Linked DNA regions of Coturnix japonica. The protein of the gene in region 1 purifies or fractionates together with the protein of each later gene. This does not show direct contact. Links are inferred from orthologs where the notes say so. Each region holds a gene or a part of one and is shown on either strand. Other genes may lie near its edges.

Evidence for each region.
Region 2: the proteins of AP1M1 (region 1) and ATG9A purify together in Homo sapiens (affinity purification with western blotting, with the first as the bait; 3 studies listed by BioGRID). This does not show direct contact. The link is inferred for Coturnix japonica from reciprocal best matches to the Homo sapiens genes AP1M1 and ATG9A.

Annotation. Positions count from the first base shown.
Region 1 is NC_029543.1:3,461,560-3,476,293, reverse strand, and holds AP1M1 (AP-1 complex subunit mu-1), read left to right. Parts: upstream 1-4,586; 5' UTR 4,587-4,650; coding exon 4,651-4,692; intron 4,693-5,241; coding exon 5,242-5,398; intron 5,399-5,640; coding exon 5,641-5,708; intron 5,709-6,284; coding exon 6,285-6,415; intron 6,416-6,645; coding exon 6,646-6,793; intron 6,794-7,214; coding exon 7,215-7,341; intron 7,342-7,698; coding exon 7,699-7,841; intron 7,842-8,584; coding exon 8,585-8,656; intron 8,657-8,929; coding exon 8,930-9,088; intron 9,089-9,519; coding exon 9,520-9,645; intron 9,646-10,297; coding exon 10,298-10,373; intron 10,374-10,981; coding exon 10,982-11,004; 3' UTR 11,005-13,054; downstream 13,055-14,734. Other genes in the region: CIB3 (calcium and integrin-binding family member 3), read right to left, coding at 4-151, 511-622, 1,912-1,946, 2,259-2,373, 2,534-2,559; protein FAM32A, read left to right, coding at 3,253-3,329, 3,401-3,539, 3,618-3,671, 3,770-3,838. UniProt on the Homo sapiens protein: Subunit of clathrin-associated adaptor protein complex 1 that plays a role in protein sorting in the trans-Golgi network (TGN) and endosomes.
Region 2 is NC_029522.1:24,495,815-24,511,595, reverse strand, and holds ATG9A (autophagy-related protein 9A), read left to right. Parts: upstream 1-5,844; 5' UTR 5,845-5,911; coding exon 5,912-6,014; intron 6,015-6,121; coding exon 6,122-6,165; intron 6,166-6,659; coding exon 6,660-6,724; intron 6,725-6,990; coding exon 6,991-7,152; intron 7,153-7,249; coding exon 7,250-7,391; intron 7,392-8,359; coding exon 8,360-9,108; intron 9,109-9,497; coding exon 9,498-9,651; intron 9,652-9,832; coding exon 9,833-10,012; intron 10,013-10,636; coding exon 10,637-10,882; intron 10,883-11,178; coding exon 11,179-11,399; intron 11,400-11,498; coding exon 11,499-11,616; intron 11,617-11,768; coding exon 11,769-11,988; intron 11,989-12,128; coding exon 12,129-12,271; intron 12,272-12,379; coding exon 12,380-12,385; 3' UTR 12,386-14,377; downstream 14,378-15,781. Other genes in the region: GLB1L (beta-galactosidase-1-like protein), read left to right, coding at 1-64; ANKZF1 (ankyrin repeat and zinc finger domain-containing protein 1), read right to left, coding at 630-750, 889-959, 1,052-1,219, 1,348-1,459, 1,778-2,051, 2,705-2,824, 2,902-3,060, 3,241-3,381 and 7 more; ABCB6 (ATP-binding cassette sub-family B member 6, mitochondrial), read left to right, coding at 15,552-15,781. UniProt on the Homo sapiens protein: Phospholipid scramblase involved in autophagy by mediating autophagosomal membrane expansion. Cycles between the preautophagosomal structure/phagophore assembly site (PAS) and the cytoplasmic vesicle pool and supplies membrane for the growing autophagosome.

The DNA.
Region 1 (14,734 bases):
CACCATAAATTTTAAAAGCATAATAAGCTTTTAAGTCTCTGGGAGCCATCTCACTCAGCACAGAAAACATGTCCAAAAAGTCATCTAAAGTCATATTGCCATCTCCACTCTCTGAGAAAACCTCTGCTATCCGCTGGCGGAATGGATTGTCCTGGGAAATAGAATACAGCACTGAGGGAAGGTCATCTTTATGAGCATTTATTTCAGCGCAGATAAGAAAACTGGTGCACAGTAATTTTTGTTGTATCCCCTTTTTGTCAGCCAAATACCCCTTTTTCTGCTATTATGTTTTTGTCTAATCTCTTCGGCACAGCTGCTGCCTTCTTTAACCTCTACGCAATTTCAGGGTGTTTTCAGGAAATCATTAGAAGTTTCCAGAAAGGTTTGACTTTAGTAAGCAAAATTTATTTGTATTTCATCCCCTTAGTAATTAGTACTGGATGAATTATTAAAAATGGTAGATTAAACTGCTCGTGTCACTTGATTCCAGCTGTGCTCCTTGCTCTGTACCTTCAGCTCTGGCATGCTGCCAATGAGCTCATAGGGAAGTGTCACGTTTGGTTTATTGGTGTAGTCGAGTGGGACGAGCTGCGGGGCCAGATCTCGGTATCTGTAGAATAGTCTGAAAGAGAAAGGAAGGCTCATTCAGGGAGCAAGTTATTGAGACCTTTGAGAACAATGTGTTTGCCTTATCTGTTCTTCATACTCTGCATCCTTTACCAGAAGGATGGTATCAGTCCCTAAGTCACATTTATCATACTCTGTAGTAGACATTAGTGGAAGAGGCAACATTAAAAAAGCAACACAGTGTAACTGGTGATAAATACAAAGCCCTCGTGCTTTCAGAACAACTTAACAGGCTTTTATTCACCACAAGTATCTCTTTTTTTTCCATCACAGCCAGATTCAGGAGACAGAATGTATGCACAGTCATCTGGATGTATTAGTACTTTGTCAGCTTGCAATTTTCTTCATCCCTTTGTGTGTGTGAGGATCCCATTCATAGCTGTCATCAACAAAACAATAGCATAGAATTTTAAAAGGGTTTCTTATCAATAATAAATGTCTTATTCATGACACACTTATGGCTCTGGCCTCTACTTACTACAAGGAGAGGCAGATTTAAATTTCAGTTATTACGGAATCTTTCATTTTTTATCTAATATTTAATTCATACATAGGTATCAAAGCTCTAAATGGGGATATTCAGTACAAAACTGTTATTCATGCTCCATCCTTCAGAGCTATTAGCAAGCAATGCCTGAATTTGAGAGACTGAAAAGTCTTAGTCCCATAGGACCAGAATACCAAACCTGCCTTTGGCAGATCCTTTGGCCAGGGGTTAAATAGAGTATTTGACGAAGTTCATGAAGGCTTTGAGAAGAATGCAGCTCAGGGTAATCACTGCTAATTATTTACATGAAGGAAATGTGAATCAAATTGGATACAATCATTAATGATTTCTTAAAACAGGCAACATGTCCCGAGGTACAACAGTACATTTTGAAGCACTTGTCCTAAAACAAAGTGAAGGGAACATGGATGTCAGCAGCAAAGTACACACAAAAATATGCCCTGTTACATTTATGGTGTAGAGACTGTTACCTTCACTGAATATTTAAAACCCGGCTTACTTTATGATAGATTGTATAGATAGTTTTTGTACATTAAAAGAAGAAAAAGAAAGAAAGAAAGAAAGAAAGAAAGAAAGAAAGAAAGAAAGAAAGAAAGAAAGAAAGAAAGAAAGAAAGAAAGAAAGAAAGAAAGAAAGAAGCTCAGATTGTCCAATGTATGACTTTCATTTTGTATAAATGCATTTTAAAGTTACTTTAAAGTGTTCTTCATCTTTCATACAATCTGTTTTGTAGCAGTCTCTGTATTTTGCACACAGAACATACACACAAGACTCACCTCAGAATTTCTTTCCTCGTGAAGAATGTGCAGTCCTATGAAATAAGACATCATTGTAAAGGCAGCTTTTAGCACTCATTGGCCCTGACTCTTCCACTAGTGACTCAAATAGAATGATGCTGTGGCCGAGCACTAACACCCTTTCATTTTGTATATAATTAGGAATACTTTATCACTTTTCTTGATGTAAGAACCAAACTAAAGTGTCTTACTAAAATCTTCACTGTAATTCAGTTCTCCTACTTAGTAAGTTTTAAACAGATTGCTTAAAAAAATAAAAATAAAAACACAACAGCAACACCATTATTCAGTGTTCTGTCTAACAACTCATTTAGTTTGTTTTGTACCTGATATGCATCCAGTTGCTCTGGAGTGAAGATGGTTTGCTTGTTGCCCATTTCTGGCTCTGAACGCTGATTCTTCTCCCATCGTTCTTTCCTCAAAGTCACCTTTATAGGAGGCCTGGATATTCAGATATTAAAAGCTGCAACAATGAGGTTCAGGTAAAGCAGAGGATCAAGTAACCAGCTTCCCTATTCTATGGGCTACAAAGAGCCATAATAGGAGCACTTCATCAAATCTCTAGTCTGGCTACTCACGGCTCCTATCCAGCATCACTCACCTGTCTCTGTGCACACAGAGCCTCATGTTACAGCACTGAGCCACACGACTAATAGCTTCTGGTCTGTGCCTTTGCAGCAGCGGGCAGGGCTCGCAGACAGCACATCTTCATTCCTTCATATGGCAAATTACCTGAATAGTGTTGGTAATGCCTTTACTTGTTAAGATTGGCGCTGAATGCTCGGAGCTGGTCACAGTGGTGGTCACCACTGATCTTTTTTGTCTCATTTTTCGCTACAACACACACTGCATTGCTCACTAATGTCAGTATTGGCTTTTCTTGGGGCAATACCTGTAAAGTCCTCTTAGCCCCTCTATCTCTCCATTAACACACATTATCTCTAGTTAATGTCCATTAGTGTGACAAGCATGCATATATACAGGTCCATATGTGGCTTTTACACTGAAAATACAAGAGATTGCATTGTTTATACATGAAAACAGAACCGTGAGTTAAACGTGAAACACAAGGGTAGGGTGTGGAACTAACAGCAGCACCACAGGAGCCGCACAGCTTCACTCACCCTTAAGGTGCCTTAAAACAAGCGGCAGCGATTCAGATTCGGTCGGTTCGGAGTGGAACACCGTGGGTTGGGCTCGAGGTTCGGGTTGTGGCCGGGCACTTCGGGGCCGCTCGGGTTGTAACGGCTTTTACCTCAGCGCCCTGTGGCGGGAACGGCGCTGCCGCCAGGGGTCGCTGTGGCGCTGGGCGGCCGAGCGATGGCGGACTACGAGGCGGTGCAGCGCGGGCCGCTGCGGCTGAAGGGCGGCGGAGCGGGGCTGGGGGCCGGCAAACGGTGAGCGGCAGGGAGAGGGGGGAACCGGGAGCCGGGCCGGGGGCTGGGAGCTGAGCGGCGTCTGTCCGCAGGAAGAAGAAGAAAGCGAAGGACAAGGCCAAGATCCTGGAGCAGATCGTGAGCAGCAAGAAGCAGGAAGAGGAGAAGAAGCGCGGCCTGGATAAGCGGACCCCGGCGCAAGTGGCCTACGAGAAGATGCAGGAGAAGCGGGTAGGGCCGCACTGCCCCCGGGACGTGGGGCGGGTCGGAACCCCACGGCAATAACTGTGATCTTGTGTCTTCTTCCAGCAAATGGAGAGGATCCTGAAGAAGGCCTCGAAAACACACAAACAGAGAGTTGAGGTGAGTGGAAGTACCATCAGCTGGGCAGCGCTGTGGGGAGGGCTGCGCGATGGTGAATGCTCCAATTCTGAGCGCTCTGTTCCTTTGCTGCCCCTCAGGATTTCAACAGGCACCTGGACACTCTGACGGAGCACTACGACATCCCCAAAGTCAGCTGGACCAAGTGAACGGGCGGCGTTTCGGGGCCTCGGGTCAGGAGTTGTGCTCACACCAAACAGGGCTGCCGTGTAAACCTCCGTATTCATGATACTGAATATTTCATATGTCTTCGGAACATTTATCACCTTGTACTGCCGTATTTCAGTTTCAAAATACTCAACAAAACCTCTTCTTTGGCTGTTGACTTATGGGGTGTTTTTCAGTGCTCAAAGCTGAACCCAATTGCTGTGAGACAACAGGAGAATGTTCCTTTATTTGTCCTATGCCAGCAGCTCTTAGAAGAAGCAGTCTGTGGCAGCATTACATTGTATGAGCTGCTCTTATCAGTGGCAGAACTGTGTAATTCCTATATAAAATCTCTGAGTTGGGGCAGTGGTGTCTGCTGTATTCTACAATCCTTATGTCTTTACTGTAACTTATTAAAAAGCTCCTTTTATCCATTATTTCGGTGCTCCTTTCCCTGCAGTGAGGGTGGTGTGCTGCATGCAGTCTGTATGGCTGCATTTACAGCTCTCACAGGTGATGTGAATCACATCCCAGACCCTCACACACTAATTCAACCCAAGCGTTTTCCCTCTGGTACCGCTGACCCGTCCCGGGGCTCCTCAGCCTTCCTAACTGCGGACTTCAGCCGGCCGCGCACTACTTAACGTCAGCAATCGGTGCCTTAAGTGCTGTTCCGCTGCCGGCGGATCACTGCGCGTATCCCTCCGCGCGGCCGGACCTTGTGCAGCCGCTTCCTACCGGAAGTGGCGGGCGGAAGCGGAAGTCGCTGTGACTGTGATCGGGCGCGGCGGGCGCGGCGGCCCCGGGCGGCGCGATGTCGGCCAGCGCCGTGTACGTGCTGGACCTGAAGGGAAAGGTGAGGCCGCGCTGCGGCTGTGGGCGCCCTTCACCCCGAGCTGCCGAGAGCGTCGGGCCCGTCCTGGGCTCGGCGGGGCCCGGCACCGTGGGGCTCTCTCGGCCTCGCTGCCCTGCGGCCGCCGCTTCCCCTTCCCGCTCGCTGTTTGCCCCGAGCTGTGGGGCGGTCCCGCCTTGTCCGAGTCGGGGAGCGGCCCTGCCTGCACAGCCCCGAGCATCACAACTGCGGTCAGTAATATCAGCCCTAATGGGAGGAGGCTTGTCCCAGGAGAGCGGTGTGTTTTTCCATCTCAAAAGTTATTATTATTAGGGTGTGCGTAGCTGTGTGAGGAATAACACTAGGAGATACGACTGCGTAGCTTGGGGATTTGCGTTCAAATTGCAACATATAATGGCACTTTGGTTTGCGTTTGTAGTATGTATAGACCATTGATTAAAGCTTGATATGTGGGTTTTTCAGTTAAGAGGTATTTTAACTATCCCCTGTGCTGGTCTGGCATGGTAACGTCATCTCTCAAAGGAAAAGTGTAAGGAATTGTTCTTTCCGTAGGTTCTCATCTGTCGAAATTACCGTGGGGATGTGGACATGTCAGAAGTGGAGCATTTTATGCCAATCCTTATGGAAAAGGAAGAAGAGGGAACGCTTTCTCCTATTCTAGCACATGGAGGAGTTCGTTTCATGTGGATTAAACATAACAACCTCTATCGTATCCTTTGTGCTGCAGGCAACCTACGTGTGAATCATTGAATGAATCATAGAATGACTTGGGTTGAAGGTACCTCAAAGATCTTTCAGTTCCAACCCTGCTGCCTCAGCCATGGCTGCCACAAACTAAATCAGGCACCAGATCAGGCTGCCCCTTTTACAATGCTTTTAAAAGCACACTCAGTAAAATGCTTTTCATCACACCATGACTTTGAATGCGTGTTCCTGAACATCCTTTATTAGTTGTTGCAACTTCTAAGAAGAATGCTTGTGTATCACTGGTGTTTTCATTTTTATATAAAGTAGTTCAGGTGAGTAGGAAGTTTTGGATTTATTTCCCATCTATTTTTCAGTGTGATCTAATAAAAATGCATAGAGCTTTCACTTTTTTTTTTAAATAGAATCTATACTATTTTTCCTTTATATTTGATTATTTGATAGAAATGTCTTCCTAACCACTAAGAATGGAATTGATATCTTATAACTGAGTAGGCAAAGGATGTGACACAATGCTGTGAGTAGTTGCACATGACCCGAGAACACAGAGGAAAACACTGATGTATGAATAGTGCCATATATAGGTGCTGTGTTGGGTTAATTTGGAACTGGCATCACAACTGTTTTTCCCAGCATAAATATTTTTTGTAATGATCAGACTTATTTCTTGGTCTCTTTAACCCCCTTTTAATTGAGGTGAGTTTCCTGCTGCTAATCTGGACAGAATGTTTTTAGGAATTATGAGTTTTGTTTTGGTGATTTATTTATTTTTTCCTTTTTTTCTTCCAAACTCTTGTTAGTTATAGGAATACATTCAGAATATGCTGTAGTTCCTCAGCTCATGTCCTTCTTTTTTTCCTTCCCTCTCGTTCTTTTTTTTGTTGTTTCAGGTTTTTTCTGAATATTTCAAGGAGTTGGAAGAAGAGAGCATTAGAGATAATTTTGTTATTATTTATGAGTTGTTAGATGAGCTTATGGATTTTGGTTACCCACAAACCACTGATAGTAAAATTTTACAAGAGTAAGTATCAGTCTTTATTGCTCATATTTGTAAAGTCCTTGGGAAAGTCTTTGTATTTTGCATGCAAACAAATGTTTTGGGTTCCTCCTCTAGTTATCAAAATATTTAATACTTGATAAAGTATTATAATATCCAACTTATTTATTGATGATGTGTATCTGATATAAAAGACACTTCAGATTTTTCAGAGTATAATTTGTATTTTTTGTTCTAATTCTGTGCTTATAAAGGTACATCACTCAGGAAGGTCACAAACTTGAAACTGGAGCTCCACGTCCACCTGCCACTGTTACAAATGCTGTTTCATGGAGATCAGAAGGGATAAAATATAGGAAGAATGAAGTGTTCCTGGATGTTATAGAGTCTGTTAACCTTTTGGTGGGTACCTTTTACTTGAACTTTTAATGAGAATTATTAGTAGAAGTCTTGAGAAGAACTTACTGTCTGAAAACATATTATATATTATATATTAAAAAATCAGCCTAACCATGATTAGTGTGCTGGGATGCTGTCTGTCATTGAAACTGACAATCTGTAATGACAGCCAGAGATAAATAATCATTTACTGGAACTTGTGCTCTGTGCCCAGTAGTCCCAGAGTTGGTTTCCAATGTGTCCTTCCTTTCTCTTTCAGTCTATTCCCACTTTGTCCTTAGTCTGATTGTACTGTGTTGGATTGGTTGCTCGGAAGAAAAGCATCCACGGAGACCCGGGGCTTGAGGATGGGGTGGGATTGCTGTTTGATCTCATATCATATTGTGTTAGGGCAACCTTTATCTTTCTTTTCATTACCCTTCAGGTTAGTGCCAATGGAAATGTATTACGGAGTGAAATAGTTGGATCCATTAAAATGAGAGTCTTTCTCTCAGGAATGCCAGAGCTCCGCCTTGGTTTAAATGACAAAGTTCTCTTTGATAACACAGGCCGTGAGTATTTCAGCAATATCTTTTGAAATTGTGATGGGTGTTCTCTGCAAGATTTGGTGAGGTTCAAGTGAAAACATAGATTTTGTGATGAAAACACTTGTTTAATCAATGTAGAAAACCAGGTTAGGTCTTGTGTGGCAATACCAAGAGAAGATGGGATACCACAGTGAACATGGTAACCATCTGGGCTTCATTGCCTCTTCTGCTGGGACTTTTGGAGTCTTAGAAAAAATACTGGGCTAAACCCAGGTGTGAAGGATATCAGCAGGCATCTGCTTTGCTATATAATGCTCTGATGTGACTTCAGATGCAATGGGAGCAGTGATTTGAAATCTTGGCATGTGTGTTTTCTGATAGGTGGCAAAAGTAAATCAGTAGAACTGGAAGACGTGAAGTTCCATCAGTGTGTTCGTCTCTCTCGCTTTGAAAATGACAGGACGATTTCTTTCATCCCACCTGATGGAGAGTTTGAACTCATGTCCTATCGCCTCAATACCCACGTAAGTCTGGATGTTTGGGTCTGAACCATAGCAGTTTTTTATGAGAATAATCTAGCCTGTAGGTAGAATTGCTGATGACTTTCCCGTGATGTGTTTTGTTTTTTCTTTAAGTATGGGCAGCATAGTAGTTGTGAAGTCAACCATTAGTAGTAACGCTTTGTGCTTGCTGTTTTTGGAGGAAGTAAGAATGAGGTTAGGAATAACTTGGCAGTAAGTCTCTTATCTTTTCAACTTCTATTGAAACTATTTTCAAAGCATGAATTAGTTCATTTTTAAGCTAACAATGCTATAAAATTATTGTGGCAATTTATTGTGCTTGACAGTGTTAATTTGTTAGCTGAATATTTCTTGGAGTATGTTAACATACCATATTCCTGGCTCCTCAAGGTAGCAGCTGCTGTATAAGTTAACATTCTTTTTGAAAAGAAAATATTTAGCAAAGAGGAAATATTTAATTGTCAGCTGTGACAGGAGACCAGCAAAACAGTTACAGAAAACAAAACAAAAAGACCTGCACATACGTGGAGATGTGTTTGACAACTGAAGATGTTAGGAACTAATCTGAGAAATACTTCTTTCTTTTTTTTCCCCCCCTCGATGCCTGCCATTTTTTAGCCACATTTTGCTTGTATGTCAGTGCTTACTTACAGAATTAATGTATTCAGTGTAGATTTGTGAGGAAATTACAATTTTGTGCACATGCCAAAGTAAAATCTACAGTTGTAAAATATCTTTCCCATCAGGTAAAGCCACTGATCTGGATTGAGTCTGTGATTGAAAAACATTCCCACAGCCGCATCGAGTACATGATCAAGGTCAGAAGTACTAAAATTATTATGGCTGGTTTGTCTTTTGTTTGTTCTCAGTGCTTGACCAGCAGAGTGCATTCCTGCTTACACAAACACCTACTATTTCCCTGGGATTTGTGTCTTTTTAGTGAAGTTCATTTGTGTTAATGTTCTGTATTGTGCTGTTTCTCAGTAGATTGTGGTAGAGGGAAATTATCTCACAGCTCTCTGAATTTACATGTGTAGTGTATGTGCTTAGAGATGTGATTTTTTTAATTTTTTTTTCTCACTTTTCTTTAGGCAAAAAGTCAGTTTAAACGTAGATCGACTGCCAACAATGTGGAGATTCACATTCCAGTTCCAAATGATGCGGATTCGCCAAAGTTTAAAACCACTGTTGGAAGTGTCAAATGGGTTCCAGAGAACAGTGAAATTGTCTGGTCCATCAAGTCTTTTCCAGTAAGTGCTATTTTTAGTCTTCTCACCCAATAGTACAATAATTACTTAAAGTTAATGGTTTATGACTCAGCCTAAGGCAAATTCTAAAAGCATCAAATGCTCCATAGTGATAGTACAGCTACCGTGCTATGTGATGAAAATGGTCAGAAAGAAAGCCAAACTTCTAATGTTCTCGTTGAGGATAAGACCAGAGGAAGATGAATTATGCCTCAAACTGGTCTTAAGTTGATCTATATTTAAAAGCAACAAAACAAACAAAAACCAAACACCACTATTTTTAAATAAAAACAAGTACTTCCTTCTTAGCCCTAGAAAAGAATCTGAAGTAATAAATGCAGTTCATCAATTTGATATTCTGCATAGAAAATCACTTGTATTGTTGGAAGCTTTTCTTGTTTCAAGAAAAAAAAAAATTGTTCTTTTTTTGTAAGGGTGGAAAAGAATATCTGATGAGGGCTCACTTTGGACTTCCAAGTGTTGAAGCTGAAGACAAGGAAGGGAAACCTCCCATTAGTGTCAAATTTGAGATTCCATATTTCACCACTTCAGGAATCCAGGTTGGTAGTTGAAAACAGAAATACAGAAGGAGGCTGTGTGCTAGGCTCCTGACACACAAGCTGATGCAGCCCAGCTTTGTAGCTTTGTCTGCCTTGTTCCTTGGTTTGGTGTAATTTTTGCTGTGTAATTGTTCCATGGTTTGGTGTCATTTTGCTGTTGTTTTTGTCCTGCTTTTCCTGGCTGTCACTGTCTCATTCACAAACATCTTCCTGCCCTTCACTTTGAAGTACCAAAAGTGTTTCTTTATTACTGAGGCAAGTCTGATTTTTTTGTTTGTTTGTTTGTTTTATTTTATTTTTTATTTTTCCCGGCTTTAAGGGAATCTTGTAAAGAGAATGATAGGACTGGCTGCATTATTTCATATGGAAAGCACACTGTTAATGCAAGTGACGACAGTTTATGTTTACATCTAAAGTTTTGCACATCTGGATAATTTCTGTTATTATTATCCATAGAATATACCATATATATCCATATATCTATCTATATCTATCTATCAATACCATATATATCCATATATCTATCATCAGCGATGATCTATATCCATAGATCATCGCTGCCCACCCAATCATCCCTGATTTCATTTTATTTTTTGCTAAACAATGCTTGGCTGACACGGGAGATTCATATTTAACTTTTCTTTCTTCCCAGGTTCGATACTTAAAGATAATTGAGAAGAGTGGCTATCAGGCTCTCCCATGGGTTCGTTACATTACCCAGAATGGAGGTAAATTGAAAGCAATGAACTATAAACATAATCTCTGTCTTAATGTATTTTAATTCTCCAGCATACACCAACAAATTGAAGATATGAGCAAACTGTTCTTGTGTTTCAGTATTAAACACTGCAGTATATGTACATGACATTAATGCTTGCTGATTTTTCTAGTCTTTTTTTTTCTTACTCAACTATCTTATTGAAATGCTCATTTAGACAGCACTGTTGTTCACTGAATGTGACTTTCATTATGAAATACTTAAATCTGGGGAGAAATATGAATTAAAAGAGAACTGATTCGTACATATCATTTTGCTGGCTTTGGGCTGGCTGAGATACTGTCTGCTAAGAACCACCAAGTCTGCTAAAGGAAAAGAAAAAACAAACCAATTCTGCTGCTTTTCATTATTACTTGTTTTGCTATTCAGACTGCTTTTGCTGTTCCTGGCTTGGAAGCTTGTAATTATCTTAATTGCTTTAAAGCCCATGTTCTTGGTTATTCTACATCAAGATCTGATCATTTCTGATCATTTCATCCCAGTTTGCTCTTGTGTGTTACTGAGATTAGTGAAAGGCAGTGTACTAAAACTGGTTTTATTTTTGTTATTCCTTTACAGACTACCAGCTTCGAACACAGTAAGACACCTTGCAGGCACCACAGATGACAACACTTCAGGCCTAGGATTTGTTTGCAGAAGCTTCTGTGGTACTGAGAGCTGTGAATGTTGTTGCCAAGGGTCTTGTCTCTGCAAACTTGGATTGGGCGAGAGAAAGATGGGAAATTTACCATTTTCAATAATGTGTTTGAGCATTTGAACCATTAGTATTGATTGTGTGAATATTTATTTCATTCTTAGAACATGCTGATCTTGCTGCTAAAAGCTAATTACATTAGTAGTAGCCGTTACCTTGAGGAGCCAGGAATACAGAATGAACCTTGAGAATGTCTTGTCAATGCCTTGTCCATTGTATTCACAGTTTTTAGTGTTTGTATTTTAGGATCTTTAAAGACTTTACCTGACAAAACAGGGAGACAATTGTGCAATTACCTGACTGCTTAACAGTGAGTTGTATTTAGCCCAAGGTATTTATTATTGTTGTTCCGGGCATATGGGTGCCTTAACTCATTCAGAGCTCTGTTAACTTAAGACATTTTACAAAATCTGAGCTGAAATTATCAGGAGTCCAAAAATACACTTTGCTCTTCTTTACATGGTGTCAAACCAATTCATCTGACAGAACAAGCTGTGGGCTTGTGTATAAATAAGTAGGTGTGTTGGAGGCCAAGGTGTCTGAGAACAAAAGATTGTGGGAAGTGTCTGTGAGAACATCTCTGGGGAAGCATGATGATTGCTAGTTCACGTGAGCTGAGGTGCACACTGAAGAGTTTCAACCCTGTTATACTCCTTGGGTGTGAAAACCCTACGCCAATTAACTAGCATGTGCTTTTTCTTTATTTCTATTTGTAATACAAATATAAAACTATAAAGTGTAAGTCTTTAATTTAAAAAAAAAAAAAAAAAGACTGATTTTGGCAGCCATAAATCTGGTGGGAAGGCTTTATAATTTTCTTTATTATTATTACCCTTCCTGGATAAGTGATATAATCCTGCCTATTCTTGACAGTTGATTGTTGTTTACAGAGAAGCTGATGGAAATATCATTTCTGTTTTTCAGGCTTGCTGCCTTCTTCATTTAGGGCAAATCTCTTTTTTTTTGCTGTAACTTGCTAGAATTGCTTAACTTTATTTGCCCTGAAGAGGTTGCTGTCGTAGTCTCCTCCATTTGTAAGCAATTATTCTTAGAACTCTCTGGCAGAATGGACAACAGGTGAGGATGTTATATGTAAAGGTATTATTTTTTTTTACATGCTGTTTCATTTTTCTGAGAAGCTGAGGTTCATTTGGATGTACATACTTTGATTTCAGAAAAAGAAGTTAACAGCTATCAGTATTTTCTTTGAACAGGTTTTGGAATGGTTTGGTTTCTATTTAGTACTCGAGGCAGATGCTAAATTTAAGCCATTCAAAGCTAAAGATGTGGTGCATATACTGTGTGCAAGGTTCTCCACACTACCTTCTTGACGGTTCTTGACTCTCTCACAAGGTTGAAAAGATATTGTCCCCACTGAATCCTTGTAGACTGTCTATCTACCTTTGTATACAATGTGTATGATTAGTAAAATGAATAAATCATCTGAGTTCCACTGAAAGGCAGCTGCTGTAGTGCTACAGAAAGATCAGCCTCAGAAGTGACTGATGGCTGCAGGCCCTGTGCAGCAGCAAGGCAATGAGCTGGCTGGGCTGCGCTCGGCGTGGATGTGTATTTTCTGGGGTGGGATGACTGTCACCCCAACAAGCTGGATGTCGAAACAAATCATCTTGTTCGAAGTTTTGGTTCCACTGCTCATTTTCATTTGAACCATTGAGCTTATGACTGGATTAAACATTTTATATTAAAACTGTAACTGGTTGACAAATCACTTTTCCTGGTGGCTCCATTCTTCACAATGTTTATTCTGATTATTTGCCTGTAAAATGTGACTCTCAAAAGCTCCATTTGTTTTCCTGTTGAAGGATGTATCTTGCAGCCCAGTGTTTTTCTTATATTTTGCAGCAGTTTGAGTTGGCTTTGATGGTGAGGTATCGGCCCTATTGGTCCGGGAACTAATAAAGGACAAGAAAACTTAATTGCACATCACTCCCTCTTTTTTTTTCCCACTTTGATCTACAGTAATATGCAGCCTCTAATCCTGGTGTGCCTTCAGTTAGTCCAACACGAGGCCTGGGTAAGTGGAACTGAGCTTCACAGAAGTTCCTGATTTGTTTTTTAAATACAGAGAAATTTTGCTGTGCTTTCACTCTCTGCAGAATTGTGCACCATAGAAACAGTGTTCATGAACAGCTAATACTGTAGAAAGGGGGGAGGGGAACAAAGAAAACAATAAAAAATGAAAACCAACTTCGTTATTAAGATGTGGGGTCCCAGCATGCATAGAAAGGCAGAAATAGAGGCATGAATTCTTGTTCAAGGAGTAACTTCTAATTGGTAAAGTAGTTTCGTTCTTAGAGCAGCTGCTAACTTTGTTATCGTGGTGGCTTCTGCTCTCTACCTGATGTGGGGAAAATGTAAATTTGATGGTCTGCCAACGTTACACACAACTGCCTGATATAGAATGCTCTGTGAAGGCGATTTGCATGATTCTGCTTACACGGTGAGATATCGCCTCGGTGTCCTCAGCTCGGGGTGATTTTGTCACTGTCTAACCTGGAAGGTTGAACTCCTTAAGGGGCTCTGAAAACAAATCTGTTCGTAGTACAAAGCCACCAGTGTGGAGATGTTCTTTGCAGTCTGGGTTTTGCAGTGCACTGTGAAGTAGGTTGTTTTTTGTCAGTAAGATGAAGTGTGTTTTCCCTACTCTATCCTTAGCACGGGACAGCTCAGAGTGCTTCAAGGGTTATGAAGCCTTTTCCTCCTGCAAGGCATACAAAGCTGCAACTTCATCTGCCTGCTATTTAATTGATAAACAGTTATTTAGCAGCGCATCGAGGTCTGTCAGCAGCACTTCCCCACTGGACTCGGTAGGTGTCTCACTTCTGCAGCAGTCTGTATGTGTATCCACTGTCTCAGAAGAGGATCCAGCAGCCCGCTGTGGTTCGGTGGTTTGTTTCTAAACGCCGGTGCTGCCAGTAGGTGGCATTCTGAGCACACAGCGTGTTCTGAGCCATCGCTTTCCAGTAATGATCAGAAACAGACGCAGTGAAACGGTGTGTGCTGATGTATGCTTTGAGTCGGAAGGTATAACTATATTAAAGAAACAAACCCACACTGCAGCATGGTGGGGTTGTTTTGGGTGGTTTTTTGTGTTTGTTTTGTTTTCTGAATTTCAGCAACTTCAGTTTGTCTGTTTTCACATTGTCATTTCTTTCTGTTGCTCCCACGTGCCCAATGCTACCACCCAGCGCCGAGGGCAGCAGCACGATGGGTGCTGCAGAAGAGCTGCTTGGTGCTGTGTGCCACTGTTGGACTGCAGCACTGCTGCAGAGGAGCTCAGTGGTCTGAGGTTCCACCTCTGTGTGCTCACAGCTTCAGGAATCAGCAGCTGCTCCGTGAGCCCCTCTGTAAAGTGCAAAGCAGCATCTTCTATTCACTTGATTCCCCCCACACCCAGAGAAAACAGAGTTCTGTTGTAGTGAAAGAAGCCGCAGCCTATCTATCTCCCTGACAAACAGAATAGCACTGCTAGAAAAGCTTTATTCCCCCTCAGTATTTTAGGTGGGGTTCTGTCGCTGTTTCTCTCCTGCATGTTTCTACCCCTCCTTCCTTGCTGCTACCCCTTTTTGCCTCTGCTGTTCCTTTCATGTACTTCC
Region 2 (15,781 bases), on another chromosome or scaffold:
GCTCTTCCTTGACCAACCCCTTTTCAATAGAACCATCAACCATAGGCTCCTGGACAAAGAATAAACACGGGGCTGCCAGGCACTGTCACTGCCTCTCACTGTGCCTGCAGGGATTGCGGGGTGGTGGTGGTGAAACACTGTGGGTCTAGTTGGTACTTAGGAAAAGGCACCCTTATACACCTAAGGGGTTGAACGCAACTCTTTATTAACAATGCAGGCAGAGGAGGTAGTTGTTAACATGATATGGCTGAGACTCAGTGGCTTCCAGAAGGAAGGACAATATACAGGTGAGAAGGTACCTGCAGGCATAGGGGCTCAAGGCTGCAGAGTTTGTACCAATCAGGATCTGTACTACCACCCCAAGCAGCAGCCTGCAAGGTACCCAGCAGAAAAGCAGGCAGTAGGACTTCCTAGCTGGAACCAGTCCTGGTCTTTTGCACTAACATGTGCAGGCCTTGCTTGTTACTACCTTGAGTCACACTCATGCTGCAGCTTCTCAGTCTTGTGAAAACTGCTGCAGAGAGTGATGTGACCAGCTCAGTCCCTCTTACCAGCATTACTCTACAGCCAGTGCTCAGCCATGTCTCCACCATGTGGGTCCCTGGCTGCCATGATGGCAGCCCCCACCCTTATGTGTGGTTGGCCCGGGCCCGGCGGTGGGTTTGCAGGCAGGCCGTGGAGCAGAAAGAGAAATCAAGGTAATGGAATGGGATCCGGCCCAGCAGGGACTCTCCACAGTACCAGCAGCGGCTGCAGGGAAAGAGCAGAAGTGGCCTTGAATGGACACATTCATATAATAGAATCATAGTGTCACAGGTTAACCATCTGTGGTTGTTAAGCTTATCCTGGACCATCATGTGCAGAGCTGGCTGCCTACAAGCTGCCTACCTGATGTTGGAAAGAGCTGTACTGCCATTCTTCATCTGTTCAGACAGCCTCCGCTCAGCAGCTAGGGCCCTCTGGGGAGCAGAGAGATAGGTCAGCCCCCAAGGCTTGCTGAGCCAGAGCCCACTGCATCAGGTTGGTTCCTCTCCCCTGTGCGAGGCCTTACCTTTTCCCTATCAGACAGGGCTGCAAACTGCTGCTTCTCTTCCTTCTCCTGCTCCAAGCGCTGCTGTTCCTCCCGCTGTGCCTGTTCCCGTTGCTTCCGCTGGGCTTTCTGTGCCCGCTTTTTCTCCATCTTTTTGGCTTCCATCTCCGTAGTCAGGGGGCCAGGTACCTGGGGCAGCGTAGGCAGGGGGCAGTCAGTCAGCATCTCCCTCAGAGAAAGAGGCAAAGGCACGAGGAGGTGAGAGCAGGATGCTGGGGTGTGGCTGAAGGCCATTTTGCTCAGGGGCAGGTGCCCACCTTGGCACGACTGTAGTCGTACTTGTCTGGGTGGTCCACCATGAATTTGCGGAAGGCATTGCGTGTTGGTTTGTCAGCAGAGATGCAGTAAGGGGTCTTCTCCTGCCTGTCTCTGCAAGATGAGAAACAGCAGCTCAGCCCTATGGTATTACTGCTGGTTTCTCATTGGGCTGTGATATAGAACAATCTAGGGTATTGGAGCCAAGGAGGGTAAGGTTGAATACCCCCACACCATGATTCCCCAAATCCTCTCCTTGCATTTCTAAAGGTAAATCTCACCCCAAACATAGAGATAAAACCAGCAGTCCTGACCAACCCCAGCTTGTCCCCCAGGACAAGGCTGGCATCAGCCTCACGTAACTGCAACAGGAGAGAGTTGCTGGACTCCCACAGCAGTGGCCATCAACTGTATGATGCCTTGTGGCCATACCTGAGTGCAGGGTCAGCCCCTGCTTCCAGCAGCAGGCACACAGCTTCAGCCCTCCCTGCACGTGCAGCCACATGAAGCAGGGTAAAGCCACATTCATCTACAGGCTGGTTGAGCAGGGAGTGGGGCAGACCCAGGGGTTGTTCATCATCCCCATCCTTGCTGTCCCCCACTGGGCCCCTGTTCTCTGGTACACCCAGGAGGTGCCTCAGTGTCCCCACATCCCCCATCTTGCAGGCTGTGAACAGGGCATCACGGAGCTGGGTCTGGGGGTCTCCTGTGAGAGAAGAACAGGAGGAGAAATCTGATGCTACAGGGCCATTTAGTCCAGGAAACCAACACGTTGCTGTTAAAGCATTGTCCTGCTAGCTGCATATGAGTATGTAGCAGAAATGCTAAGTCATGGCCTGAAGCAGTGATTGAACACCTGGTAGGAAGGCAGGGCCAACCCAGAGGAGCTCAGGTGCATGCAATGCATTGAGTGACAGGAAGGGAGCCAGGATCCACCCCTTCCCAGACCTCATTTAAGGGCTGGCAGTGGAGGTGAGGGCATCTCTTGCTGGAGATCCCTGCGTATCTGAGGCCTTCCAAAGGTAAGCAGCTCTTTTCTTTCATTTCTGTATCCATGGTTGCTGCATTTGGGCTCATTCTCATTTGCTGCAGCCAAAGATTTTGCCACCCCAATATTATTGTGGTACCGTTGTAACAGAGATCTCTGCTGCTCTCTAATCTCATCTATTCAGGTGGAAACACTATGGTTTGGTTACTGTTCTGTGAGCACTGCATGTCTGAAGGCATGTGGCTACTTTACAGCCACCCTGGCACTCAACTGCTCCAAGTACCTGCACAACAACTTGCTCTTCACCCCACTGCAAAGTATGCAGCATACAGGGCAGGTGCTCACCTAGCCAGGCTCCCAACTCCACTCACCTTCAGTCTCCCAGGGAAGGGGCTCAGCTCCAGGCTTCCCCTGCAGCTCTGTAACCAGCTCCAGGCTGGGCTGCCCTCCCTGGGTTCCACAGCATCCTGTCCCTTCAGCATGGAGCCCTGCTGTGAGAGCGAATGGTAAGGAAGCCCAGCCAGCCCCTGAGGCATGGCAGACCCTTCCCCCGTGCCTTCCCCCTCACCATTCTCCATCTTTTTATTCCTTTTCTTCCGCCTTTTGCGGTTTCTCTTGGGCACCACTTCAAACTCCCGGAGGTCCAAGGTCCCTATTGTTACTTCCACAGTTTCCAGTTCCCCTGCTGGACTCTCTTCCTCCTCTTCTTCCTCTTCCTCCCCTGGGGCTGATGAGAGTGAAAGGACAGGACAACCCCATATGCAGCATGAATTATCTGGGGCTTTCAGATAAGCACACCTTCCCCTTCCACCCAGCAGGAAGCCTTTTTCAGCAGATTCCCCTCTGTGGTGTCTTGCCCTGTTACAGGGCTGAAAATCTCATTAAAAAAAACAGACCACCTCCCCACCTTGCTCTGAGCCATGTCTCCCTCCATGTTTGAATTCACCACCTGTGTCCATCTGCAGGGAATCCATCTCAGCCGCCCGCTGTTTCTTCTGCCAGACTTTCCGTGGGGACCCAGTGATGTCCTCCAGTGGCGTGTCCTTCCCTAGACAGCAAGGGTGTCATTGCCCAGAGATGGGGTGCACCTCATGCCCCAAAGGGATGGAGAGCAGGAGAACCACTAGATGTGCCCAGCACTCCAGGGTCCCATGAGGGACCGTACAACCTCACCTGCACTGACCGCAGGTGTTGGGGCACCAGGGCCAGGCCAACTCACCAAACACCTGCAGGCTGGACAGCACAGCATGGACTCGCAGCACCTCCTTCAGGGTGGCCCTGCGTGTGCTGAGAGGGATGTGGCAGACACGGGGGTCTCCCCTACTGAGGTGGGGGTTCTTGCTATCAAAGAGCAGCGCCCGGTTGTGACGAGGGGCTCGGAGAAAGATGCGCTGAGCTTCCTTCAGGTGCTGCGCCCAAGTTGCCAAGAGGTTCTGAATATCCTGGAGAAGAAAGGAAGGCTCTATGGAGTCCTGAGTGGGCACCAGCAGCTCTGGAACAGGCAGATTCAAGAAATGGCAGCCTCAATTGGATCCTGACCCAGTTCTGGAGCTCATAGTCCACATATGAACTCCAACAGCAGCACGGCACCATTGCACAGAGCTGGTTGCCAACCACATTTCCCTACTGAAAGCTCAAGCCTGTGGTCCATTCTCACCTTGAGCAGTGCAGCTTCATTGTAACGCCGCAGGGAGGCTCCTGCTGATCTGGGTGCTGACCCTGGGGTCTGGGCATCCCTTAGGCTCTGGGCTGTGCCCCTCCGGGCTCGCACAGTGTAGCGGTGGAAGGTCTTGTGTTCCTGCACCTGGGGGCTACAGAGAAGGGAAGGGCCCATCCAACAGCTGGCCACACTTGTCCCTGCCCACAGAGACAACCTCAGCCTTGTGCCTTTGTACTCACCCACGGAACACGGCTCCTGCAAAGTGCCCGCCACCCATCATCAGTACAACCCAGCATGTGTTTGCATTGAGGCTCTGCAGTGACGCTATCAGCTCTGCTGGCTCCTCGCTGCCGCCCTGAGACACAAACACTCCTGCTCACATCTATGGGATCATCCCATTACTCCTCGCTGTCCCCAAGACAAAGGCCATTCCCTCTGCTGGCACATGCACAGTCCTAGTCATGCTGCTGGGGGCATCTCAGCTGCAGCGAACCTGAGGCACCAGACTTCTCCCTTCCCTTCAAGGGGCCCCAGGGACTTCCAGGCAGATGTCTGTACCACAGTGCCACCCCTCTTCTCTGGGGCCCATTCTTCTACAAGCTGGTCTGTGACTTGCCTTCCCAGTGCTCAGTATGCAGCGATAGGCAGAGATGAGCTGTCCCCTTGCATTGCGGAGCAGCACCTTGTGGGAGCGGGGATGCTGGGGGGTGGCAGGGCTGTTGCTGGCAGGGGGAGGTGATTCTGACTCGCTGCTTGCATCGGAGCTCTCTGAATCTGACCCTGAGATGCTGGAAATATCACCTGCAGCAAAGAGAAAATGGAGCAATGGAGGAAGACAAAGATAAATAGAAAGTTTGCAGGTGGTTCCGGGGACCAGCCCACAGCCCTGATGGATCAGACAGATGAAAAAGACTGTGAACATGTACAGGCACCTGGAGGCTTCACTCCCAGACAGAACAGCAAAGTCACCATTAGTCTGGGCCCTGCTGAAGCAGCCCCATTCCTCACCTGCTCTGCTCTTCTCCTCAAATTCTTCCACTGGCAGCGCCCGGCGGCCTCGGAGTCGCTGCTTCAGGTTGAAGCGGTGCCAGTCAAGTCGGTAGTGCTCAGTCTGTGAAGGGAAGAGTGAGCCAAGCAAGGTGCTGGTGCTTGACAGAAGCCACAGCTACCAAAGGCCCCACGGTGACAGAGTCCAGCAGCCATAACAACCCTGTGGCTGCAGTGATCCCGGGCAGGCAATCACTGTGTATCATGGAGTCCCTGTATATCGCCCAGCAGCCATAACATCCCGCTCACCTGCTCCTCCCGGCTGCCGAACTGCTGCCCGCAGGTGAAGCAGCACATCCGCTCCGGCACCTCGGGGGCTGTGCCGGCCTTGTCCGCTGCGTGGGGGGCTGCGGGCTGCCCTGCAAGGAGAAGGAGAGGACGGGACTGTGCAGCCACACAGGGCAGCAGAGGAGCCCCACACAGGCACAACAAGGCAACAGAGGGAGCCCAGGGGACCCTCGGGCCATAGGGCGAGGCCTGCCCCTCACACAGAGCACAACGCACCGTGTGTGTCCGCAGCCGACGGACTGGCATTGAACCCGCTGACGAGGGTCAGCCCGTGCAGGAGGGCGGGGTCCAGCGCGGCCTGGAACACCGACGTGCTCTGTGTGGCCGCCATGGCCCCGCTCAGTTCCCAGCACACCCCGGAGCCGCCATGGCCGCCGGGCTGCACCGGAAGTGCAGGCCGCATTCACGGCGCTCTCCCTACGGGTCGCCGCGAGGCTCATCCCACCTACCCTCCCTCCCGCTCTCCGATTGGCCCGGCGCGGACCCGCCCCTCGATCTCCATTGGGCGGCGCGGCTGCCAGTCGCGCTGTGGGGGCGGGGCCGGGCCCGGGGCTCGGTCCGGCTGTGGCGGCGGGTCCCGGCCATGGCCCAGCTGGAGACGCAGTACCAGCGGCTGGAGAGCTCGTCCACAGAGTCACCGCCCGGCGGCGGAGACCTGCTCGTGCACGTCCCGGAGGGAGCGAAGTGTGAGCACGGGGAGCGGGACGGGGCGGCGGGACGGGCTGCGGCCCGGGCTGTGGGATATGGGCTGTGTGTGGGGCTATGGTGGTGACGCTGCCTCTCCTCCCCGCAGCTCCGTGGCACCACATCGAGAACCTGGACCTGTTCTTCTCTCGGATATCCTGACACCTGTGTGGGGATGGGGGACACGGGGGGCTGGCACTGAGGGGGCAATGGGACGGCGGCCGTGCTGTGCTGTGTCAGAGTGAAGCAGTCCCACAACTGTTACACAATCACAGAATGACCCGGGTTGGAAGGGACCTCAAGGATCATGTAGTTCCAACCCCCCTGCCTGGCAGGGCCACCAAACATACACCTTTACTAGATCAGGTTGCCCATGGCCCCGTCCAACCTGGTCTTGAACACCTCCAAGGACGGGGCATCCACAACCTCCCTGGGCAGCCTGTTCCAGTTCCTAACCTCTCTCCTAGTGAAGAACTTCCCCCTAACATCCAACCTAAATCTTCCCTCTTTTAACTTAAAACCGTTTCCCCTAGTCCTGCTATTATCAGCCCTATCCAAGAGTTTACTCCCCTCCTGGGAGTAAGTTCCCTTCAGGTATTGAAAGGCTGCAGTGAGGTCACGCTGTTCTCCTTGACTGTCGCCTTCACGTGTATAACTTGCATCAGAAGAATGGCTTCACCTGCATGCTCATCGGGGAGATCTTCGAGCTCATGTGAGTGAGGGCTGCCCTCGTGTTGGGGCTGCAACAGTGGCCGGGGAGCAGCTATGGGAGGCTGCCAAGCTCCTGCAGTTGAGAGGGTTCCTGTTACGATCCTCCTGTCAACCCAGTCCTGTGGTTCATCCTGTGTAACTGGTGCCCTTGATCTTCCTGCTGCCTGGCTGCATCTTCAACCCCCGTGTGCCCCTGTGCTCATGCCTGCTTCCCATTAGCAGGAGGCAGAAGGCTGCTCCCCTCATTATTTCTCTCTTTCTTCGCAGGCAGTTCATCTTCGTGGTGGCCTTTACCACCTTTCTCATTAGCTGCGTTGATTACGATATTCTTTTTGCCAACAAAGCGGTAAATCACAGCCAGCATCCCAGCGAGCCTATTAAAGTGACTCTACCAGATGCTTTCCTGCCTCCAAATGTCTGCAGTGCGAGGTAGGGGCAGCCAAGGCACTGCTGGTGCTCTCTCAGGGGCTGGTAACTCTTGCCCAGGGATCATCTCCCACTACTTCTGCCACCTTCTTTCTTGCAGAATCCAGGCGAACAGCTTCCTCATCTGCATCCTGGTGATCGCTGGAGTTTTCTGGATCCACAGGCTTGTCAAATTTATCTACAACATTTGCTGCTATTGGGAGATTCACTCTTTCTACATCAACGCCCTCAGGATCCCCATGGTAAGTAGGTGGGACAAGGGCTACATGTGGTACAGGATATGGGAGGCATTTGCTGTGCAGTGAGAAGCAGCTCACCTTCATTCCTCTGGAGCCAGCTTCTCCAAGAGACTTGCACTGAATGCTCAGTCCTCTGCTTCAGCTTTTCCCTGCATGGTTTTCCTTTCAGCTCCTTCTCCAGCAGCCAACTTGCTGCTTGTTACCCACCCTGCCCAGCCTGCCTCTCTCTGTGCTGGCACACGCATCTGCCATCTGCTGCTCCATATGTTTAGTCTTCTGTGGTGGCCTTTTTTGTGACAATTTTCAACATAGAAGGCATAAGTGAGGGTATTCTTGGACTTCCCTGGGAAGCAGACAGTATCGACTTCCTTGTTTACAGATTGGAAAGATGAGGCGTGGAGCTGTATAGTTGTTGAAGATCACACCGTTGATGAGTGTGGCAAAGCTGGGCTCTGAGGCTTGTGCATGCATCCTAGTCCTGAGTCCTTGCTCTGATGGACAGCACCAAAGGGTGTTTGTGTGTATTTGGACTAGAGGCTGTGTCTTGAGAGAGATGGGATGAGCCAAGAGGTTTGGTTTATCCCCAGCTTTCCCACAGGCTGCCTTTGGGGCTTTGGTTATGTTCCCATCCCCTATTCCTGCCTCCCTGCTGACTCCAAAGAGCAGGACTGTGAGCTCTGGGAGGGAGGACCCATGCCAGGCTGCACCTGCATTTGTGTCTAATGCACTGGCGTGTGAGTGGCTGGGAAACAGCCACCTATGCTATTCGAGGGGTAAAGGGCACTAGGGCATGGTTTGAGGCTTGCTGGGATGACTCAGGCTGAAGCAGTGCAGGAAGAGATGCCTGTTGCTGTGGTGTTGCTTGTGGCTCGTACACACCCCGAGGTGTGTATTGGTCCTGCTGTTGGAACGGGCTCAGCCCAGCCTCCATCCCTGGAGCCTGCCCCTAACCTCACTGCTTTCCCTTCCAGTCCAACCTGCCCTACTACACCTGGCAGGAGGTACAGGCCCGCATCGTGCAGATCCAGAAAGAGCACCAGATCTGTATCCACAAGAAGGAGCTGACAGAGCTGGATATCTACCACCGCATCCTCCGCTTCAAGAACTACATGGTGGCCATGGTGAACAAGTCACTGCTGCCCATCCGCTTCCGCCTGCCCCTGCTGGGAGACACTGTCTTCTACACGCGAGGGCTTAAGTATAACTTTGAGCTCATCTTCTTCTGGGGGCCTGGCTCACTCTTTGAGAATGAGTGGAGCCTGAAGGCTGAATACAAGCGGGCTGGGAACCGTCTGGAGCTGGCTGAGAAGCTCAGCACTCGCATCCTTTGGATTGGCATCGCCAACTTCCTCCTCTGTCCTCTCATCCTCATCTGGCAAATCCTCTACGCCTTCTTCAGCTACACAGAGATCCTGAAGAGGGAACCGGGCAGCCTGGGTGCCCGCTGCTGGTCTCTGTATGGCCGCTGTTACCTCCGTCACTTCAACGAGCTAGACCATGAACTGCAGTCACGTCTCAGCAAAGGTTACAAGCCAGCTTCCAAGTATATGAACTGCTTCATCTCCCCACTCCTCACTATTGTGGCCAAGAACGTGGCCTTCTTTGCTGGCTCCATCCTGGCAGTGCTCATCGCTCTCACCATCTATGATGAGGACGTGCTGGCGGTTGAACACGTCCTGACCACAGTCACCCTTCTTGGGGTGGGCATCACAGTGTGCAGGTAAGGAGGATCCATGCTGGACAGGGCTGGATGCTGCTTGCAGTATGGTAGGGGAGCAGTGAGGTTGATATTCTTCATTTGAGTGCATTCTTAGGTTACAAGTGGACGTGAATCTGTGTGAGTGAAGGGCACGGCTGGGGCGAGTCAGGGCAGGGCAGGCAGGAGAGGGGGCCAGTGCTGAACTTGGGCACAGTGGCTATGATGACGGCTTCAGTGTTGATATGATGGAAGTTGCTGGAGCCATACAACAACATCCCTGTGCTGGGCTGGCAGGAGGGTTTGGGTTGGAGTGAAGGCCACAGGTGAAGCTGTAATATGTGTCAGTCTCCCGTCATCCCTGGTTGAAATCTTCTAGGAATACTATGACGTTTCCCTATCTTACCCCTCAGGTCTTTCATCCCCGACCAGCACCTGGTGTTTTGCCCTGAGCAGCTGCTGCGAGTCATCCTGGCACACATCCACTACATGCCTGACCACTGGCAGGGCAATGCCCACCGCTATGAGACGAGGGACGAGTTTGCCCAGCTCTTCCAGTATAAAGCGGTGAGCCTGGCTTGCAGGGGGGTGGGATGGACACCCTCTCCCATCTCTGCATAGGCAGAGGAACAAGGTGGTTTTCCCAGTCACCGTGCTGCAGAAGGCAGCCTGGAGCTGGGGGTTGGCTTTGGGGCTGGCAAGTTTCATGACATCCTCACCCATATGCTGAACTCATCTTTATCCTCAGGTCTTCATCCTGGAGGAGCTTCTGAGTCCCATCATTACCCCCCTGATCCTCATCATCTGCCTGCGGCCCAAATCCTTGGACATCGTTGACTTTTTCCGCAACTTCACGGTGGAGGTGGTGGGGGTGGGTGACACCTGCTCCTTTGCCCAGATGGATGTGCGCCAGCATGGCCACCCTGCGGTAGGTCCTGAGGGGGTTGTTTTCATACCAGGACTCTCTCAGGAGGCATGAATGGGGGTGTTTGGATATCTAGGAAGTCTGACTTATAATAACTGATTGTAAAAGCTGGGCTGCTTTAATCCAGGAGAGAGGCAGCCTACTGGTTGGGGATGAGGTACATATTCCCTTTTACAAAGTCTGCTCTGGAGAGAAAGAAAATGAGTCTGTTTCTTGTGCCTGGAAATTTATGTTACTAATCAGGAAAGAGTTTCTAGTGACAGGGCCATGAAACCAGTAGGGGATGGATGCACTGTGGCAGACAACTTGCAAAAACAGCCATTTGTTGGCTATAGTTGCTCCTGCTTTGGGTTGGACAGCACAAAACAAAGCTTTCACCTCTGTGACTGGCCTTCACCTCTCTAGTTCCCTTCCAGCAATGCATATTTAGGGATGGAGAAGGAAGGTAGGCTGCAAAGGCTGAGCTGGCTATGGGGCTTTTGGTGTAGTGTGTGTCAACTGCTTGGAGCTATGGTCCATCATGCAGGTTGTGTGCTTTGTCCAGTCTAGCTGGCGTTCAGGATTCCTGGGCTTAGCACGGGTGTAAAGCAGATCCCAGTCTTCAGTCTCTCTCTTTGTGCTTCACAGTGGATGTCAGCGGGGAAGACGGAGGCCTCCATTTACCAGCAGGCTGAGGATGGCAAGACGGAGCTGTCCCTCATGCACTTTGCCATCACCAACCCCAAGTGGCAGCCACCCCGTGAGAGCACAGCTTTCATCGGCTTCCTGAAGGAACGGGTGCACCGGGACAGCAGTGTGGCACTGGCCCAGCAGGCTGTGCTCCCCGAAAACGCCCTCTTCAGCTCCATCCAGTCCCTGCAGTCCGAGTCAGAGGTGCCCAAGATGGTGGGGAATGTGGGAAGGTCCTGGAGTGCTGGCAAAGTGTGATAATCAGGCCTTCGGGACAGACTTTGTCCTTATCTGGGCTGTGTCCAGGGGTGCAATATGATGGATCAGCACTCACTGGGACTAATTCTGGCTCTTTAAGGAAGGGCAGCTGGGTTTCCTGTGCCCTGTGAAGTGGGAAAGGGACTAAAGAGAGCTGGGATCCTTCAGTTTTGTCTCAGTGGTGGGGGTTTTGTCTCCAAGTCTGTGCAGGCAGTGATTCTCTTTCTCTTTTGTCTCTGCAGCCTCACAGCCTGATTGCCAATGTGATAGCAGGCTCCTCAGTGCTGGGATTCCACATGGGCCGTGATGGACAGGCCTCTCGTCATCTCTCCGAAGTGGCTTCAGCCCTGCGTTCCTTCTCCCCACTCCAGTCTGCCCAGCAGCCCTCTGGTGGCTTTCAGACAACAGGAAGGGATGGAGAGGGAACCCAGCCTCGTGGTTCCAGTGCCATGACAGCCTCTGGGTAAGAGCATGCGGTGGCCTTCACTGCCTGACCCTAGAGCAGAGAGAGGCTTGGTGGTATCTGCAGCCACATAAACATCACTCTTGTTTCCCATGGCAGTGCTGATGCGAGGACTGTGAGCTCGGGGAGCAGTGCCTGGGAGGGTCAGCTGCAGAGCATGATCCTGTCAGAGTATGCCTCCACTGAGATGAGTCTCCACGCACTCTACATGCATGAGGTGAGTTGAGCTAACCAGAGGGGATGTGGGCCCAGGGCAGGCAGGACTGGAGTGCCCTGCTTTGGGTGGCTTGGATTGGCTGGAAGAGCCTTGCTGGGGAGAGGGTGCATTGGGGCATCTGTAGCTGACCCACCTGTATCTTGGCTGTGCAGTTGCACAAGCAGCATGCCCAGATGGAGCCCGAGCGGCACACCTGGCACCGGCGAGAGAGTGACGAGAGTGGTGAGAGCACCCATGAGGAGCTGGATGCTCAGCGAGGTGCCCCCGTCCCCCTCCCTCGCTCTGCCAGTTACCCCTTCTCATCTCGGCAGCCTGCTGAGGAGACAGCCACGTTGCAGACGGGCTTCCAGCGACGGTATGGCGGCATCACAGGTATGGGAGCCGGAGCAGAGGTCTGAACCTTCTGGTCACAGTCCCGTAACCCTTGTCCTGTAATACTGGCACAAGCAACATGCTTGTCTCTGAAGACTGACAGCCCCCCAGGTAGCTGATCCTCCTTGCCTTTCCTACAGACCCAGGCACAGTGCACAGAGCCCCATCACACTTCTCCCGCCTCCCACTGGGAGGCTGGGCTGAGGATGGGCAGTCAGCGAGACACCCAGAGCCTGTGCCAGAGGAGAGCTCAGAGGATGAGCTTCCACCGCAGATCCACAAGGTAAGGGAGGAGGCTGTGGCAGACAGGGGCAGCAGGTGCTCTGGATGTCAGGCTGCAGACCAGCTGCCAGCAGCCCTTAAATGCTGAAGTCCTGTCTCTGTCTTGCAGGTATAGCCTTGCAGACCGGGGATCTCGTGGGGGTTGCAGACTGGAAGCCACCTGGGCAGCAGGATGTGGTGTCAGCCCAATTCCTCTCCTATCCCGAGGGGATAGGATGGTCATGGGCTCCATTTTGTTGCCATCGATTGCTGATGAGACAAAACTGCCAGGCCAGCAGCTTTGCGGTGGCGCCTTGTGTCCAGCCGTGTGTCAAGCCAACGTCACTCTGACTCTTGTGGGGTGAATGCGTGTGTGAGTACATACATGTGTCTGTGTTCACATCTGTGTCGTCCGTGTCGGAGGATCACTGCAGAGCCGCTGACAGAGCTGTGGATGGGCTTGGAGGTGGCAATGGCAGCTGCTGTTTGAAGGGATGTGACAAGGCAGCAGCTCCAGATGTCCGCCCGGAGCTGGGACCTGCCTTCGAAATGAAAGCAGGGATGGCTGGCAGCAGTGGGAGCTGTCGGAGCTGCCTTGCTCAGTCTGTAGCAGTGCTGGAACCACACCTGCAGCCCTGGGGAAGTGCCCTGCGCCATGTTCCACCTCGTGGAGAGGATCAATGTTGCACACCTCAGTCTGGAACGGGACAGCGGTGGGGCCCACCCCTCTCTGTGCACATGTGTGCTGCCCTGACACCCTGCAGCAGGATGATCCTCAGCTGCTGCTGTGTGTGTAGGGTTGGGAATAGCTCTGCTGCAGCTCCATCCCCAGCTCTCGTGACACCTGCCCTGTCCCAGGCATACAGGAGAGGGGTCCGTGGAGTGGCAGTCCTGGGTCTCTGTCCCTCCCCACTGGCAGCCCCCTGTGCCAGCCCTCTGTCCTGGGCTAGAATAGCACTTCCTGACCTGCATGGTGCTCGGTTGATGGGCTGCTCCCAGGCCCTCTCGCAGTGCCAAAGAGCTGGTGCAGCCTGATGTCCCCTGGGAGTGCACGTAGCCTGCTCGCAGCCCACAGTGAAGGTCTTGTGCTCTGTGCGCTGATTCCCTTCCCCCAGGCATCATAAAGGCCTTTTTCCTATGCCCGGTCTGTGATGCGTCAGGCCTGTTCTGTGATATCAGCCCTTTCCTCCTGCCCTAACAATGGCTTCAGTGTGTCCTGCCTCTCACCCAGGGGCTCCTGGCTCCTTTCCTTCCTTCCTGAAATCTTTTTGCGAGGATTGCTGTGGAGACCATAAGCTGAGCAGCTGCCTCATGTCATGTCATGGAGGGGGCAGGGAAGAAGGGGTACCTTGAACCCTGAAGTGAGAGGCAAACCACAGCCCAACCTTGATGTGATGGAAGGGTGTGAATCAGGATCTTGGCTTTACAGCACGGCCTTGGCCAGCCCTTCGCTCGGATCGTGCTGTTTTCCCTCATCTCTTGCAGTGGCTGCTTGCGAGGACCTACATCTCAGCTGCCCTTGCCCGGCTTTATTCCACCTCCCTGGCTCTTGTTGCCTGCAGGAGAGACTCCTTGCTTTTTCTATGCCCTGCCCTTCCCCTTCCTGGAGCACAGGTGACCTTTCTCTCCCTGCCAGGCTATTGCCCCGTGCCCTTTGTGCCTGGTGCAGCAGCAGGGACAGGAGGGAGGGGATGGCAAGCAGGGCTGGCTCTGCACCTCACATCCGTGGGCTGCCCTGCTGGTTGTAACTGCAGCCGTTCTAACACCCTTTATTTCCCTGCCTCCATGGGAACCGTAAGCGATGGTGATGTCCTTTGTGCTGCCTGGGCTCCCTCTAGGCACAGTGGGCAGTGCTTGGAGCCTGCAATACACAGTGAGGGGGTTTCAGAGGCTGTGCTCTGGAGGGAAGGAGAGCCCTTTTGCTGGGCTAATGGGAAGGACAGGCAGGGCAGGAGTCCTCGCTGCATGTTGTGCTTGTGTCGTCGGTGTCCCCTGTGCATGGCGAGCCGCAATTCTACATCTCCTTCCTGGGTCGGTGGGCCCGGGGCGCCCAGGGGGGGTGGTGCTGCAGCCCCGCGCCCTCACTGTACAGCTGTCTTGCCATCCAATAAAGATGGGCTGTGTCATCTGTCTGCCTATGAGTGTCACAGCGGCGTGGGGGGGCAGCGATGGTGCCGGGCACCCCGGTGCCCGCGGAGCGTGATTGTAAGGCGGTGAGGAGCCAAACCGGCCGGATTTAGGGCTCAATTTACTGGGACCACGCGGGGGGGGGGGCAGAGCCGCCGTGCCGCAGCAGCGAGGGGGCCTCGAAGGGACTCGGATCCGTGCGGTGAAGGAGCAGCAGCTGAGCGCCCGTCGGGCCGGCGGCCAGAGGGAGCTATAAATACCGGCAGCGCTCCGTCCTGCCCGACCTCTAACAGCGCGCCGGGCTATCGCCGTGCCGCACAACCGGGCTGCTCGTCGCGATAAGCAGCGCCGGCTCCGGTCCCCCACGGCGACACCCCACCTGGGAGCGCTTCGGGGGCGGGGTGGGACGCGATCCGTGGAGCCGGGGGACGGGGGGAAGGAAGGAAGGCCGTGCTGCGGGGCGGGGAGCGGGGCGGGGAGCGGAGCGGGGCGGTGCTACGGCCTGCGGGAGGCACGGGGAGCGGAGCGGAGCGGGGCAGGTGAGCGGGACAGGGGCTCGGGGGGCGGCGGGACGGCGGGCATGGGAACGGGAACGGGAACGGGAACGGGAACGGCGGAGCGGTCGGAGCCGCGATGCGCTCGGGAAGCGGCCCCTGCGCGGCTCCCACGGCGCCGGTGCCGGCCCGGCGTGTCCCTGCGCGTTGCCGGCGTTACTCGGTGTATTTCCTCGTGCGTTGTCCCGTGCTTTATCCTGCGTTTTCTCCACGCGTTGCCCCTTGTTTTTCCCCACGCAGTGCTCTGCCGTTCCCCACGTGTCACCCCTGCGTTCCCCGCCGCGTTCCCCACCCGCAGAGCGCTCGGGAGCATCCCCCTGCCCGGAGCGGTGCCTCTGTATCCCTGCAACGGTGGCAGCGCTGAGCGCTCACTGACCCGACGTCCAAGTGCACGGGGTGACTCTCCCCCCAACCTTTCTCCCCCTTCAAGCCACCAAGTGCAGTGCCAGGCCACAGAGCTGACCCCAACCGCTGCTCATGCTCTGCTGCACACAGAGTGTGTCCCACATGGGTTCACCCCCACCACTGCCCCCTGCCTGGCCGTGCCATCCTGCCCTACAGTTGCAGCCTTGCAGCACCCTGAGACCCCATCTTCTTCTCTCTAGCCACAGACCGGCCAGGATGGCGTTGCTGGAGGGATACTGCGAGCCCAACAGCTCCATGGCACAGGCCTGGGTGCAGCAGGGCTTCCAGCCCTGTTTCTTCTTCACGCTGGTGCCGGCCGTGCTGTTGAGTGTCTGCCTGCTGCTGGGTGCCCTGCAGTACGCCTGCTACGTCCGCTTTGGCCGTGCCATGGAGCCCAAGTACATCCCTCGCTCGCATCTTTACCGTGCCCAGGTCCTGCTGTCCTT